2 linked regions of the Xenopus tropicalis genome follow. The protein of the gene in region 2 purifies or fractionates together with the protein of the main gene of each other region. This does not show direct contact. Links are inferred from orthologs where the notes say so. Each region holds a gene or a part of one and is shown on either strand. Other genes may lie near its edges.

Region 1 (6,756 bases), on a different chromosome or scaffold from region 2:
GCTAAGAAAACTCCAGCATGGCCAGGCCCCCTTTAATGTTAAAAATGCCCGGGACGAGTGTCCCCCCCGATGGTGGCCCTGACTGTATACAGCGTTTATTGTCAAAGTCAAATCATTAACCAGTTCGGTCATTTTAAAAGTAAAATGTTCTTCAGTACTGACATTATTTAGCTTATCCTCCACACAGTTGCACCATAAAGACCAAACATATCAAAATCGAAAGAATGGAGCGAGTCACTCCAAACACAGAACTGTACTGCTATTTATTATTTGTCTCATGCCATGTTTCCTTTTAAAGCCACAGTGCTCCTCCTCCTCCTACAAATGTCAGTAAAGTCACATGATTAGAAAAGGTGTAAATTCAATTTGGCCAGGCACAAAGAATAAGCTGAATCAGAATCCTGTCGATACAGGCTAAAATGGAATTATCAATTTTGACACTCAGATTTAGCCACCATTATATTAATATGATTCAAATCATGGTTTTACTGACATTTAATTGAACAGGACACTAGGGATCTCTATTCATGAAAGTGGACTAAGGCCCAGTAACTTTAAAATATATATATTTATCCTTTACAGAGAATAAATCCAGCCCCTGTTCTGGATGTCGCCTGCACAAAAGAACCAGATATCCTGATGTATGGCAAATATGCCAAGTTTAATTCATGTTTCACTGTGAATACAGTATATAACACCAGGTTGGAAAATTAGAATGGCAGAAATGTGAAAGGGATCAGCACTCTTCCCAGTACTTAGGTAGCAATTGAATGCAGCTTCTTTCCTTTCTTCCCACTGAATGGGCTTTTACAAATTACAAGGAAACGCACAAAAGCCAGAATATAGTGCAACATGTCTGCAGAAAATATGTATGAACCCCCAGTGTTTTAGCAATTATCCCAGTTTAGCAGACACTACAATTTAAATGTGACAAAAAAGATAATGCTCTATGCAAGTCAACAGGAAACACCACCACAGGTCACACCAGTAGATCATCCTACTCACTGGACCAGAGAGGAATTAAAGCTTATTATATAATCCTAATGTGTGAAAGCTCCTGAGAAAGTGTGGAAACACCACGTGTATGCAGGTCTTACTGGATGTCTGTATATTGCCTGTATTTAGTAGATAAGATACAGTAGCTATAAACTACTGTTACATATGTACAGACCTGTACAACTCTATTGCTCGCTCATCTTCTTCATTAAATTCATCCTCATTGTCTTCCAGTTCCTCAAGTGTCATGTCTTCATATGTTTTTACTAAAAAAAAAAAAAAGTGAAGTATTAAATATCACCTTGCAATCAATAACAACTATTAAAAGATAAAGTCCAGCACTCTCCAAAACCTTGCAATAGACATCTAGAGCAGTCATGTCCAACATGTGGACAAATTATGTTCAGCTGCTGCCCCATTCAAGGCACCAAACAGGAAATCTTGGTCTGCTGCTTGTTTTATGGGCTATTTTATGTGTATCAAATTCCATGAAGTTCAATTCTTTAAAGAAACCCCAGGCACACAGATACCCATACCGACCTATCTATACACTCACATACATAAACTATATATATACCAACATCAATACTAATTGTATATTTTAGTATCACAATAGCCTTGGATATTATCCTTGTTCAAGAAATCATCTAAACCACTCTTAAAAGGCATTAAAAGAATCTACCATCACAACATTACTCAGAAAATACAAGGGATGTAATTCCTCATTGAAATGTGGGTGTGCTTGCCTCTATTCTATTGCAGGTTAGTGTCTTTTATTACATAAACCCATTTAACACCAAAAACCATAATGAAAACTTGAGTTTCTCTGTTAGTACCCTTATAACTCACCAACAGATTGTTGCTGGAGAATTTCTGCTTCTTCCTCCTCTTCATCCTGTGGCTTTTCCTTTGGAGGAAGGATACCTTTTCTACGCAGAATATCATTCCACTCTGTGTCTGCGTTTGGATCCTAAAACAAGCATGTGTCAATTTAAAAAATGCAACAATAACCCAAACAAGAGTCTTAAAACATTAAATGATCTAGAAAGAACACTTTTTTCCCCTTAAAGGAGAATGCAAGTCAAAAGTTAAAAAGCATACTGCCCAATAGTCCTCCTATTGTTTAGTAAAAACGCCACACTTTTGGCTCACCTAATCCAATATTTACTCAGTCACACTTACTTACATTTTCTAGAACAGGCAGCCATCTCTAAAAAGGTATTCTCCCTTCCCTTCCCTCCTTGCTTCATACTGCACATGTGTTTCATTCCCTCCCCCCCCCCCCTCTGCCAGATCCGCTTCTGATTGGCTGGTGGGCATGTGTAGCTCAGAACAGGAGACAGGATCAAGTTACACACATGCTCAGAGAATAGGAAGGCTGCCGTTGGCAGCCTACAAGAAGGGCAGAGAGATTTCAGTGATGTCACTGTAGGCTTCACACTGCTGTAGGCTGCCAGCACTATATCTCAGAGAAGCAAGCAGGGATCTGGGAATTTAGATATGCAGTAAATACTTAAAAAGAATGCCTTTAGATTTACTTTTAATTTATATTAAGCTTTCATTGTCCTTTAAACTTTATTTTAAATGTTAAAAACAGTATACACATAAAGGTTTTTAGCTCCAATCAGTGTGCACTACCTTCCAGTTATGTTACAATCCACACAGTGGATACTAATCCAAGGAGTGCACTTTCTTTTGTGGCAGAACTTGAAAACAAAGACTGGAAAAGGTAAGGACATTCATAACCACTAATGATACCACAGATGACAGATCAAAGAATAAGCGCAATTGTTAACTGCTTCTTCAATACTAATAAAATATTTTTCTTCTTTAAATGAGGAGAGCTCTGGGAGACTGTACCCAGTAACATTAAAACCAAATACAGTACAGGTAAGGGGTCTGTTATCTGGAAACCCTCTATCCAGAAAGCTACGAATTTCAGAAAGGGCATCTCCTATAGACTCCATAAAATAATTCAACATTTTAAAACATATTTCCTTTTCACTGTATTGTACTTGATCCCAACTTAAATATAATTTATCATTATTAATTGGTGGCAAAAAAAATCCTACTGGGTTTATGCAATGTTAAATGATTTGTTAGTAGACCTGAAGTATGCAGATTCATATTACGAAAAGAGTCCTTATCTGGAAAACCCCAGACGCTGAGCATTCTGGATAACAGGTCCCATACCTGTATTATGTAGCTGGGCAGACTGCATGGTCTTGACGGAACTACACTGAGGGGGACATTTGCTAGCACCACTGTTGGTATGTCTAGAACAGAATCACACTAAAGTTGGCCATACACGCATCGATGATATTGTACAAAACCTCGTTTCGAATGATATTTGGTGCGTGTATGGTGGCTCAATGAGATGACCGATATCACAAAAGGCTGCAGATATCAGTCGACTTGTCGATCGGCCAGGTTAAAAGATTTTGATCGGGCGCCATTTAAGCAAAATCTACATTCAGGGCTGAATCGGCTGAAAGAGGTAGAATTTCCATTGTTTCTACCTCCATATCTGATGATTCAGCCCTGAACATCAGTGGAGGGTGGGAAAGAACAAAATTGCTATGTATGGCTACCTTAAGATCCATAACTTCTGTTATGTAAAGGCAACATCTCTTTTTGTTTGTCAGACTCTGCTCCTCTATTGCTCTGCAAATGACTTGCCTATGTGCTAATTTTAAGTTGCAGCAGTAATTTCAATTTAGAAAGACAAAGCCCATATGTATAATAGCCGGGAGGTGTAGCCAGAAAGGGACAGAGCCTATTATACTGTGGAGCAGGCAACCACTCAACATCCACAAACGCATTTTTTTCGCCCGGGTAGACTATATAATTTATTGTGCCCCCTGCCCCCCTCGGGTGCAAGTAGCAAGCCCCGGCGCTACCCTACATACACACTGCTGAGTAAAGAGACGTATCCCTCTCACCTGCATCTCGCCGCTCCCTGGGCACACGCAGTGTAAGCGATTCTGCACAAAACAAGAATAATAAGAGATACGTTGAGAAAAAGGTTACTATAACATTACTGTCACTATAAAACCCCGCAGCTCCCTGTCTCTTACAAGCCTCTCACAGACACACGCTGCTAGCCGGCTGGGGGAAGTACCCGTGAGCCTCTGCTAGTGCTTCCTGCCCCAGTGCCTGGCCTTATAAGGAAGTAGCTCGATATGGAGCCGCCACTGCCTGACAGAGCCGTGTGTGTGTGTGTGTGTGTAACATTAGTGCAGCTGTCAGGGGGAGGAAACCGTGTGTGTCAGAATCTGTTCTTAACTGAACCTCAAAATGTTAAGACTTGGCAAGGAGGTTAATAAAAGTGCCCATATATTAGTAAACTCAGACCCCTTATTGTGAAAAAGGGATTTGGGTTAATACCCCTTTTGAGTCCATTTCAAACCCTTCCAGTACTTTATACATAAATACAAGTTGCTTATTTGATGTTTAAAGTTCTCACACGGTCTCTCGTCATTAAGGTGTGAGTGGAATTAACAGGCTGTTGGTTTTCACTTCCAGAGACCACACAGTATAAATGCAGCGGTGTATAAGTAAATCCTGCGCCTCCGCTTGCACTCCCTCCAACAAAATAATCAGAGTTCATAGCGTAACAGACTTCATCTAAACACACCGGCATGCTATTAAGCAACTTACGTTGAGTTTAGAAAAATCCCACGTTTACGGGCAGTAGCAGTCTCCTTCCCTATACCGATTCAGAGCTTGCTTCCCTTCCTCCCATGTGATTCTCCTCCCGGTGCCTGCGGGGTCCTAATGCTCTCAGCTAGTTTCTCCAGTCACAGCACTCCCCAACATCCACTCCCCAACATCCACTCCAGATATGCAAAAATCAGAATGCACTATTAAGAATTGTAATCAATTCAGTATAAAATTAAAAATCAAGACTTATATATAGGATTCCTGAATCAAGCCCAATTTAAAAAAATATACATAAATAGATAAAACATTAAATACAGAATTCCTAAACCCATATAAATAGTTAGAGCCACAGTTACAAGTGTTAATATAAAAAAGGAAAATACTCATAAGAAGCATGTCAGGTGAAAATCAATATTTAACCCCTGAGGCACCAGTGTCCCCAGCTGATATATCCATTTAGTTTCTTCCAGGGAGAGACTCTTTTTTAAGTCTCCTCCTCTCCATTTGGGTTTCATATGGCTCATCCCCATAAACTTAAGGCCACTGGGGTCTTTATTGTGTACCTTGGCAAAGTGTTGAGATAAATGATGTTTCATATACCCCTTTTTTATATTCCGTATATGTTCCCCCAATCTCGTCTTTAGCTTTCTTGTGGTTCTCCCAACATATTGCTTTCCACAAGGGCACTGTAGGAGGTAGACAATATTGAAGTTCAATGGCTGTTTTACTGTATATGTTCTCCCTTTCGAGGATGCACTGAACTCTCCCTACTTTATTTGTGCAGCTAGTCATTTTACATGCTACAAAATTCTTACAATAAAGTGAATCCTAAAGCTAAATCCCTTCCTGTTTACTCAGATAACTCAGAACTCATTTCCGTTTTATATTATCTGCCCTTTGTTCCCAGTGGATGTATCTACTTTCCCTTTTGCCTGATCAATTATTTTCTCCCTATAAGGAGCCTTTATGAGATGGCCTTCCAGTAATTCATAACTTTCTGGATTTCTGGTTTCCGGATAATGGATCACATACCTGTATTATCCTTTATTTATATATCACTAACATATTACACAGTGCTTTTACCCCCAACCCAGTGGACCTTACAAGCTTACAAGACCCGCACTAGGGACAATTTTTACTCTCAGGTCCACATACTGAGAATATTTTTTTTGTTAAAAAGACCATATACGTTTTTACTGACTAGGTGGGAAGCCCAGTGCTCATCAGACACACAGAATATCCCTCTGCTAACCCCTTTCTTCTCTGTTAAATTGCTTGCTTGTGTTTTATCTTGTCAGGCTTTGCAGCTGCTGTCACATTTGTTTGTACATTATTTTGCTCTGGTAACCCTTTAACCCCCTTTAGTTGTCAAAAGAAAGGCTAAATTTGGACACAGGCCTTGTTTTACATACAAGTCTCTCACAGGTGAGTCCTTACAATAGTGTTGGAAGCAATGGTTTCCATATTAATTCTCACACATATTTTAAGCTAATGGTAGATGGAGCTTTTTAGCCTTTGCTGCTTTCAGGTGAAAAATAGGAATGTTCAAAACCCCCTTTCCCAGCTGTCACCACTTGTAAATAATGAGTGCCCTGTAAATGCACATTGACATGTGACATGTGGACATCTGATTAAAAATGCTTATTACATTATTAGGATCATATATATTCAGGGGCATTTTTGTCCAAGGTCTGGCTGTGCTCTGCATTTTCCTCTTTCAATAATTTTTATTTGTGTTTTAACTTTTACAGAGTGGATATCAAGATAACGCAGTTTCGTATTAAACAACATATATGCTTAAGAAGAAGAAAAAAAGAAAGAGAAGGTCCTACTTTAATGGATAATGGGGCCAAAGAATGAAAAAAAAGAGAGACGGAAAAAAAACAACTAACTTGATGGTTTTCTTGCGCTTAAATCCAGTTACCTTTAAGTGATGTTGCCTTTGAGATCCCATATTGTAATAAAAATTGGAACGGTTAGCATCTGTGGGAGTACGGTTCATGTATGACCCAAATAAACTTTACTTTGACTCATATGCACCTTGAGTGTTATTTCATTAGTTAGCCTAGGATGTAAACGAGGATAAATTATTTGCAT
Region 2 (6,909 bases):
GATCGGCCCGGTTAAAAGATTTTGATCGGGCGCCATAGAAGACGCCTGAGCAAAATCTGCCGTCAGGGCTGAATCGGCAGAAGGAGGTAAAAATCCTATTGTTTCTACCTCCTTATCTGCCGTTTCAGCCCTGAACGTTAGTGGCAGATTTAACGATCTTTTGTGCGACCGATGATTGCACGAAAGATCACAAATCGCCACGTGTATGGCCACCTTAAGCTTGGCACATGCATGTTTATAAATTAATGTAAAGCACTATGTAAGTTGCTGGTACTATAAAAATAAATGATGATGATGAAGTGAAAGGAAAATCCCAGGAGCTGAATATGTTGGTAAGAACTGGAGTAAACACAGCAGAACAATGGAAAAGAGGCATAGGGTTAAGGGAACAAATTGTGGGTTTAGATGACAAGAGATGCTGCAGATAAGTCAGTTACTTCATCAAAACCATCAAGACAGGATGAAATGGTTTTAAAAAGAGGAAAATAATTTGGCTGTAGGGGTGTATCTTGTTTGTGGATGAAATCTATTTTGTTTTTCAAGTGAGGAAGTTGAGTAATACTATTGCTGAGTGATGAAGGGGATTTGATACAGAAAAGTGTAATGGATTGGATATGTTATTGCTTATGGAAGTTCTGAAGTAATCTTGCTTGGCATTTGAGAAAGCAGATTTGAGGCAAAAAAAAAACAATCAGTGGGCTGGGAAAAAGCAGCAGAAAGCTCTGCTGGGGCAGTCACAAGGATGTCTGTGATTATTGTACCATAAAGAACTTAACCATTTGCCATAGATTGCTGAGACCACTGAGTCTATTGTACTAGGAAATTCAGGATCCACTGTGTTATGAACTGCTAGGTGTCCGGGACCATTATATCATGTATACTGCTGGGGCAATGCTAATATTGCTAGGGCCACTGTGTCATGCATTGTTGTATTATATATTGCTGGGCCACTGTGTCATGCATTGTTGTATTATATATTGCTGAGTACACTTTGTCGTGGAATACTAGGGCTAATTTTTCATGAAATACTGACTCAACTGTCATGAAATGCTGGGGAGACTGTGTAGAAAAATACAGGATCTTCTATGCCAGAGGTAGTAAAAATACTGTCCAGTATTGGAAGCCACTGAGCCCTTTCATGCTAGAGGGGTCACTGTACAAATCAAGCATTATTTACACCGTTGGCCATCTTACATAGGTCTTTATTTACACCAGTTCTAGATCCATGTTATTATCCCTCTCTATCCCTGATCATCCAGAAAACACCCCATGACCCAGCCACGCACCAATGTCACCAAAAGCCCCATAAATGTGTAGCATAAACATAAGCTGGGTCAAACCCGGATGTCACAAGTCTTAAGGGTGAAGACGCACAAAGCTACTAGTAGCAGCTACTTGTCACAGATACAAAACTAGACAATGCTGATCATTTGCTGATAATTGTCTTTATGTGTTTTAGAAGAGGCAATTCTCACTATTGTCTATGGCAGGGTATTTTCTGGTATTTAGTAGCTGCTACTAGTAGCTCTGTGTGTTTTCACCCTAAAAGGTTAATAAACTCCATTTGGGGACACATTATTATTATTAACATTTATTTATAAAGCGCCAACATATTCCATAGCGCTGTACAATAAGTGGGTTTCATACATTGGACATACAGAGTAACATATCCCTCCCATATAGATTGTAAGTTCTACGGGGCAGGGACCTCCATCCCCTTGCATCTTTGACTCTTAACTTATTGCAACTGTATTTATCTTGTATCTATCTGTATTTATTGTTATACTTTGTATTTATCTATTATTACCTTAATAATCCCGTTTGTTTTAATGTATTTTACTGTACAGCGCTGCGTACATAAGTAGTGCTTTATAAATAAAGATATACATACATACATATAAAGCAATCAATAACCCATACAAAAGGTGAAGAGAGCCCTGGCCAAAAGAGCTTACAATCTACACATGCTTCCAAATGAACATTTTCCAGTTTCTTTTTTTAAATATGTTAAATATTAGCGCAACATGACTTTAGCCTCCCAGCTCCATGCCACATATCCTATCATTATATCTGCTATCTAAATCCTTATCGCTAAGCGACTCAATAGACTGCTATAATTTATCACGTGCTGCCCGCCATGACAACAGCCATAAATGGAAACAAAAGAGCTAGTTTAACGTCAGACCTCCGTTGCGTCACGTCATCAAAATGCACCCACTGTAGAGATGGGCAAAATAAAAACCAACAATAGGGTTTTCAGGGCTCGCTAACCATTTCAATGATGGCCGCCAACCCACCTTTCCGCTAGTTCACAGCCTTTCTAGCGCTTTCTACGCCCCGCCTCTCTGCCGTTAGTGACATCACTTCCTGATCAAAGCCGGCTGTAGCTGCGGCGTGCTCGGGTCTTTTATATCTGTAACATCAGCATCATGGTGAGTGCCTGAGTCTGTGGTTCTTTATTAAGCAGGCGGCAGTTATTTACAGTTCGCCAGTTGTCCGGCTGAGAGTTGTGTAAAGGAAAAGCTCTCCCATGCTATCGGACACGCTGTATTGGAGCGAACGCCCAGCGCCCCAAGTGCAGGATAGATCCCGTTTGACAGTAGTGAGGCAGCACTTATCCGGGCCTTTAGCTGGAAAGCAAGGTTTAGAGCGGGATGGGTATTTTCTCTGGGCCTTTAACGGATAATATAATATTTTTTTTTATATTATATGTTTTATGTTACTTCGTTTTTTTGGGCCGAAAAAAGACATTTCTGTAACCTTATAGAAGAGTGTTTAAAGTGAAGCGGAATTAGGTTTTACAATTAGCCAGGCTTGAGCATTATTATCCTAATGGCATGGGGTAACTTGACATTTCTGTTTGAGTGTCACGCCCCTAGGGGAAATATGGACTATTGGCCACCCAAGGGCTGAGGGATTTTACTCCTGGCAGCAGGGACCCAGGTTTGGCTATAGTGCCAGGGCCCCCCTCTGGCTAACACTGGCCCTGGTGGCAAGGTTGGCAGCCTAGGCAGTAGTTAGTGTAAGGCAGCGGTTCTCAACCTGTGGGTTGGGACCCCTTTGGGGGTTGAATAACCATTTCACAGGGGTTGCCGTATTTCCGATGGTCTTAGGAATAATTTAATGGTTGGGGGTCACCACAACATGAGGAACTGTATCAAAGGGTCGCGGCCAGGGCTGCCATCAAAAAATCACGGGCCCCTCACAACCAAATTTTCTGGGCCCCCTTCCTCCCACGACCTGCCCCCAATGCTCCCTCCCATTAGTACAAAGGACAAACAGCCAGGGCCCCCCTAAAACATTGGTAGCCAGGGCCCCCCAGCATCCTCCAGCTCACTCCAGCAATTTTCTGTGGCTCCCCGCTGCATCTGCACAATTCACCCCCATTGTCCTCCTGTGGCTCCCCCAGCATCCTCCAACTCCCCCCAGCATCCTCCAACTCCCCCCCCCCCCCAGCGACTTCCTGGATCCCCTGGATGCCTAGGGACTTAGCCAAATTGTATCTGACACCATGTGCCTACCCCCTTTGATATTAACAACAATCTGCAAGTGGGCCCTCTCACATACATATTTACACTAAGCATGTTACTAAATAAAAGGTTAAAAAAAACAGGGCTATATTTTATCAGCTCAACAGGTTACATTAGTTGCTTATAAAGGATTGTGGCCTCTCATGTTTTCATTTACCCTCTAGTCCGGTGCTGTCCAACGTTTGTGGTACTGAGGGCCGGAATTTTCTGACATATGTAGTGAAGGGCCTATAATGAAAGTCAGTTTTGGGCACTCCTTTTTAAACCACGCCCATATTAACAGACATTTTTTTAAGACCATATCCACATTAATAGTTGTAGCACACAAAGAAGACAAATGGTTGGTGCTTGCTGCAAGGATATCACTTATATGTGAAACACATATATTTATTAAGTCATATTAAGCTATACCCTTTAGTCCATATGACATCTCTTCCCCTGTGGATAGCACAGCAACCCCCAGCACATAATTATACACCTTAGGGACCCCTTAACAATTATTGCCAAATGCTAACAAACTCCCAGAACAAACCCCTGCCAAGTTCACCTTCCACAGGTAGGGCAGGCAGAGTATGGCACACACACACACAGGCAGGGTAGAGCAGGCAGACTTTGATACACACAGGCAGCAATAGACCTGAGGGGCTTACAGGTGTAAACAATGCAATGGCTTATTGCCTGAATCTGAGGTGTGAACAATGCAAATCACAGCAGCCAGACAAATACCATTAGAATGACAGGTGCTAAAAAGGCTAAATGTTTACAAACCGTAGCCTTATAGGAGTAGTATGTATTAAATGTGGCTTACCTAGAGAAAATGTTTTTGCAGCACTCTAGTTAAATACAATCTACCATTTAGGGCCACAACCACGGAACCGAACAGCTATGTGAATGACAGACTACAACAGTGCTGTCCAACTGGTGACTCCCCTCCCTGGCAGTTCAGTTACATAAATTATTTTCTAATTAACTTTTAAGTTGGTTTTTGCATGTTTTTTTTTTTTTTAATTATCACCATTTCTGTGTTGCCTATTTCTGGCCTGCAATTAAAAATAGTGTTTTTGGTTTTAGAACTGAAAACATTTTTACACTTCAGCTTAAGATTCATTATTATTCATTTTTTACTGCTGTCTTTTTTGTTTTACCTGCTAATATTCATCTTCTATTCTGACTAGTTGCTAGGCTAATTAAGCCTTAGAAACAAATTGCCTTTCAATTCCAAGTGTAACAGCTGACCAACACTAAATATTATAATTGTAAAAAGTATTAGGATTAAAACATTTAAATAACTTAATAATAATTTGGACTACCCTCTTTCAAGTGGCAGTATATCCCTTTGCCTTATATGTGGCAAGTCCAATTATATGACAGTTAAGACTGATAGTGATAGGCAGTGTTTGATAATATCTCTCACTAAATTCACAGTGAATTTACCAAAAAGTTGAGCTGTATTTTATTTTTGTGAAGCACAGAAATAAGACATAATTCTTGTAAAATTTTTGTTATTTATTTTACAGGCTTCCCTATCACTAGCACCCGTAAATATTTTCAAAGCTGGCGCTGATGAAGAAAAGGCAGAAACCGCCCGCCTAGTAAGTACAGTTATTTTGGCCAGGTGTAATAGTCTTTGCTGTTCCAATAGCTGTATTTTTCTGATAGATATGTTGTCTTTGTAGTCTTCCTTCATTGGAGCCATTGCCATTGGAGACTTGGTTAAAAGTACATTGGGACCTAAAGGAATGGTAAGTGTCAGTCGTCTTTTTAATGTAAGCCAGTCAAATAAATTGCCACTGGCAGTCTTAAAGTCCGTGGATGTATAAATATAGTATAAATATGCAGAAAAATAAGGTTCTTTGTTCACATGCATCAGAGATCCCCAACCTTTTAAACTCGTGAACCACATTTAAATGGAAAAAGTGTTGGGGAGCAACACAAGCATGAAACAGGTTCCTGAGGGTGCCAATAAAAATTATAATTTGCTACTTAATAGTCCTAATGTTAACTGGCAGCCTACAGGAGGCTCTGTTTGACATTATACTTGGTTTTTATGCAGCCAAAACTTAACTTCTTACTAGAAATTCAAAAATAAGCACCTGCTATGATGCCACGGGGAGCAACATCCAAACGGGTGGTGAGCAACATGTTGCTCACGAGCCACTGGTTGGGGATGACTGACTTACATTATCGATTTTGTAAAATGTATTGGTCGAAGCAGAGTAATATAATCTACAGTAGTCACTAGTTAGAATAGCCTTTCCACCTGAAAAACATAATTTTAGTGTCCTATAGACCAGTGGTTGTGGAACTGTAGTTCAATCCTTCTATTAGGCATGCTTCCCCTCATAGGTCATAACAAAGTCACAGGTAGTCTATCTGCTGTTTTTTTTTTTATAGCATAAATCTGACTGATTGACTCTTATGCTAGGCCATTCATGTGTATCTAGGAGAGCAAATAGGCATTCTTTACTAATATTAATCTTCCTGGCATTCAGACAGTCTCCCATGCTCAGCTCCAATTTTTAAAGACATAGGATCACCAATAAAAGGATAGATTTGGGGATGCTACAGCCAAAATTACATTTTGATTGCCTAACTGCATTCTAACATTCTACATTTTAACTAAAATACCAAAGCACTTGTGGGAGCACTTCCAATGCTAATTAAAGTATAGTTAAACTATTGTAGAAGTGTGATTGATGTGACTGAAATTGCTTAGCAACTTTATCGTTAAAAAAGTTTATTTAGCAGCCCATGTTTGAAAAATAAATTGCTTAGAACAGGACTGTGAGTAATATAAATAACTCTAAATTCACGTCGAATTTGTTTTTTAAAAACCTGAAGAAATACACAAATTAGAATAAAACCAATTACAAGTTGTTTAAAGTGTGTTCAGTTTTAGAGATTCAAAAGATATTTTTCCAAATTATATAAACGGAGATAGCAAGGCTTTTTCAATAAACCAGATTTTATTAGGAGGCAGGGAATTTAGTTGCTAGTTTTAATTCAACCCTGTGATCACACATAATGTTGATTTTGCTAAATTATTTTGGATGTAAACAGACACGTAGTGCTCTGAATGTGGTTTCTTAGTTATTTGATAGTTTATATGAAAGGGGAAAAAATGCAGTAAGTATTTCCCTGAGCACTATTTGCAGTTTAATTTTTATATGAAGTTTATCAAAAAATCACTGATTTAAAAAGATATGGTAAGTTTAAATTTTAAAACTATTCATGAGCATTATCTGCATATTTTTCAACTTTTAGTTCTTCTTTAAAGGGTTACGGCTATTGTAAGTGATTGGCTATTTCCTTATGCTTAAAATACTAGAACCTTCCTGTCTCGTTTGTTAATCATTATTAAAAGGCTGTGTTTAATATC

The links. The genes of interacting proteins can lie anywhere in the genome.
Region 1: the proteins of cct2 (region 2) and pdcl3 purify together in Homo sapiens (co-immunoprecipitation; 3 studies listed by BioGRID and IntAct, with this or other methods). This does not show direct contact. The link is inferred for Xenopus tropicalis from reciprocal best matches to the Homo sapiens genes CCT2 and PDCL3.

What each region holds. Positions count from the first base shown.
Region 1 is NC_030678.2:110,231,626-110,238,381, reverse strand, and holds the start of pdcl3 (phosducin-like protein 3), read right to left. Parts: upstream 4,121-6,756; 5' UTR 4,074-4,120; intron 3,981-4,073; coding exon of another isoform or gene 3,945-3,980; coding exon 3,939-3,944; intron 1,967-3,938; coding exon 1,846-1,966; intron 1,263-1,845; coding exon 1,172-1,262; intron 1-1,171. UniProt on the Homo sapiens protein: Acts as a chaperone for the angiogenic VEGF receptor KDR/VEGFR2, increasing its abundance by inhibiting its ubiquitination and degradation.
Region 2 is NC_030679.2:59,104,637-59,111,545, forward strand, and holds the start of cct2 (T-complex protein 1 subunit beta), read left to right. Parts: upstream 1-2,370; 5' UTR 2,371-2,429; coding exon 2,430-2,432; intron 2,433-5,047; coding exon 5,048-5,122; intron 5,123-5,206; coding exon 5,207-5,272; intron 5,273-6,909. UniProt on the Homo sapiens protein: Component of the chaperonin-containing T-complex (TRiC), a molecular chaperone complex that assists the folding of actin, tubulin and other proteins upon ATP hydrolysis.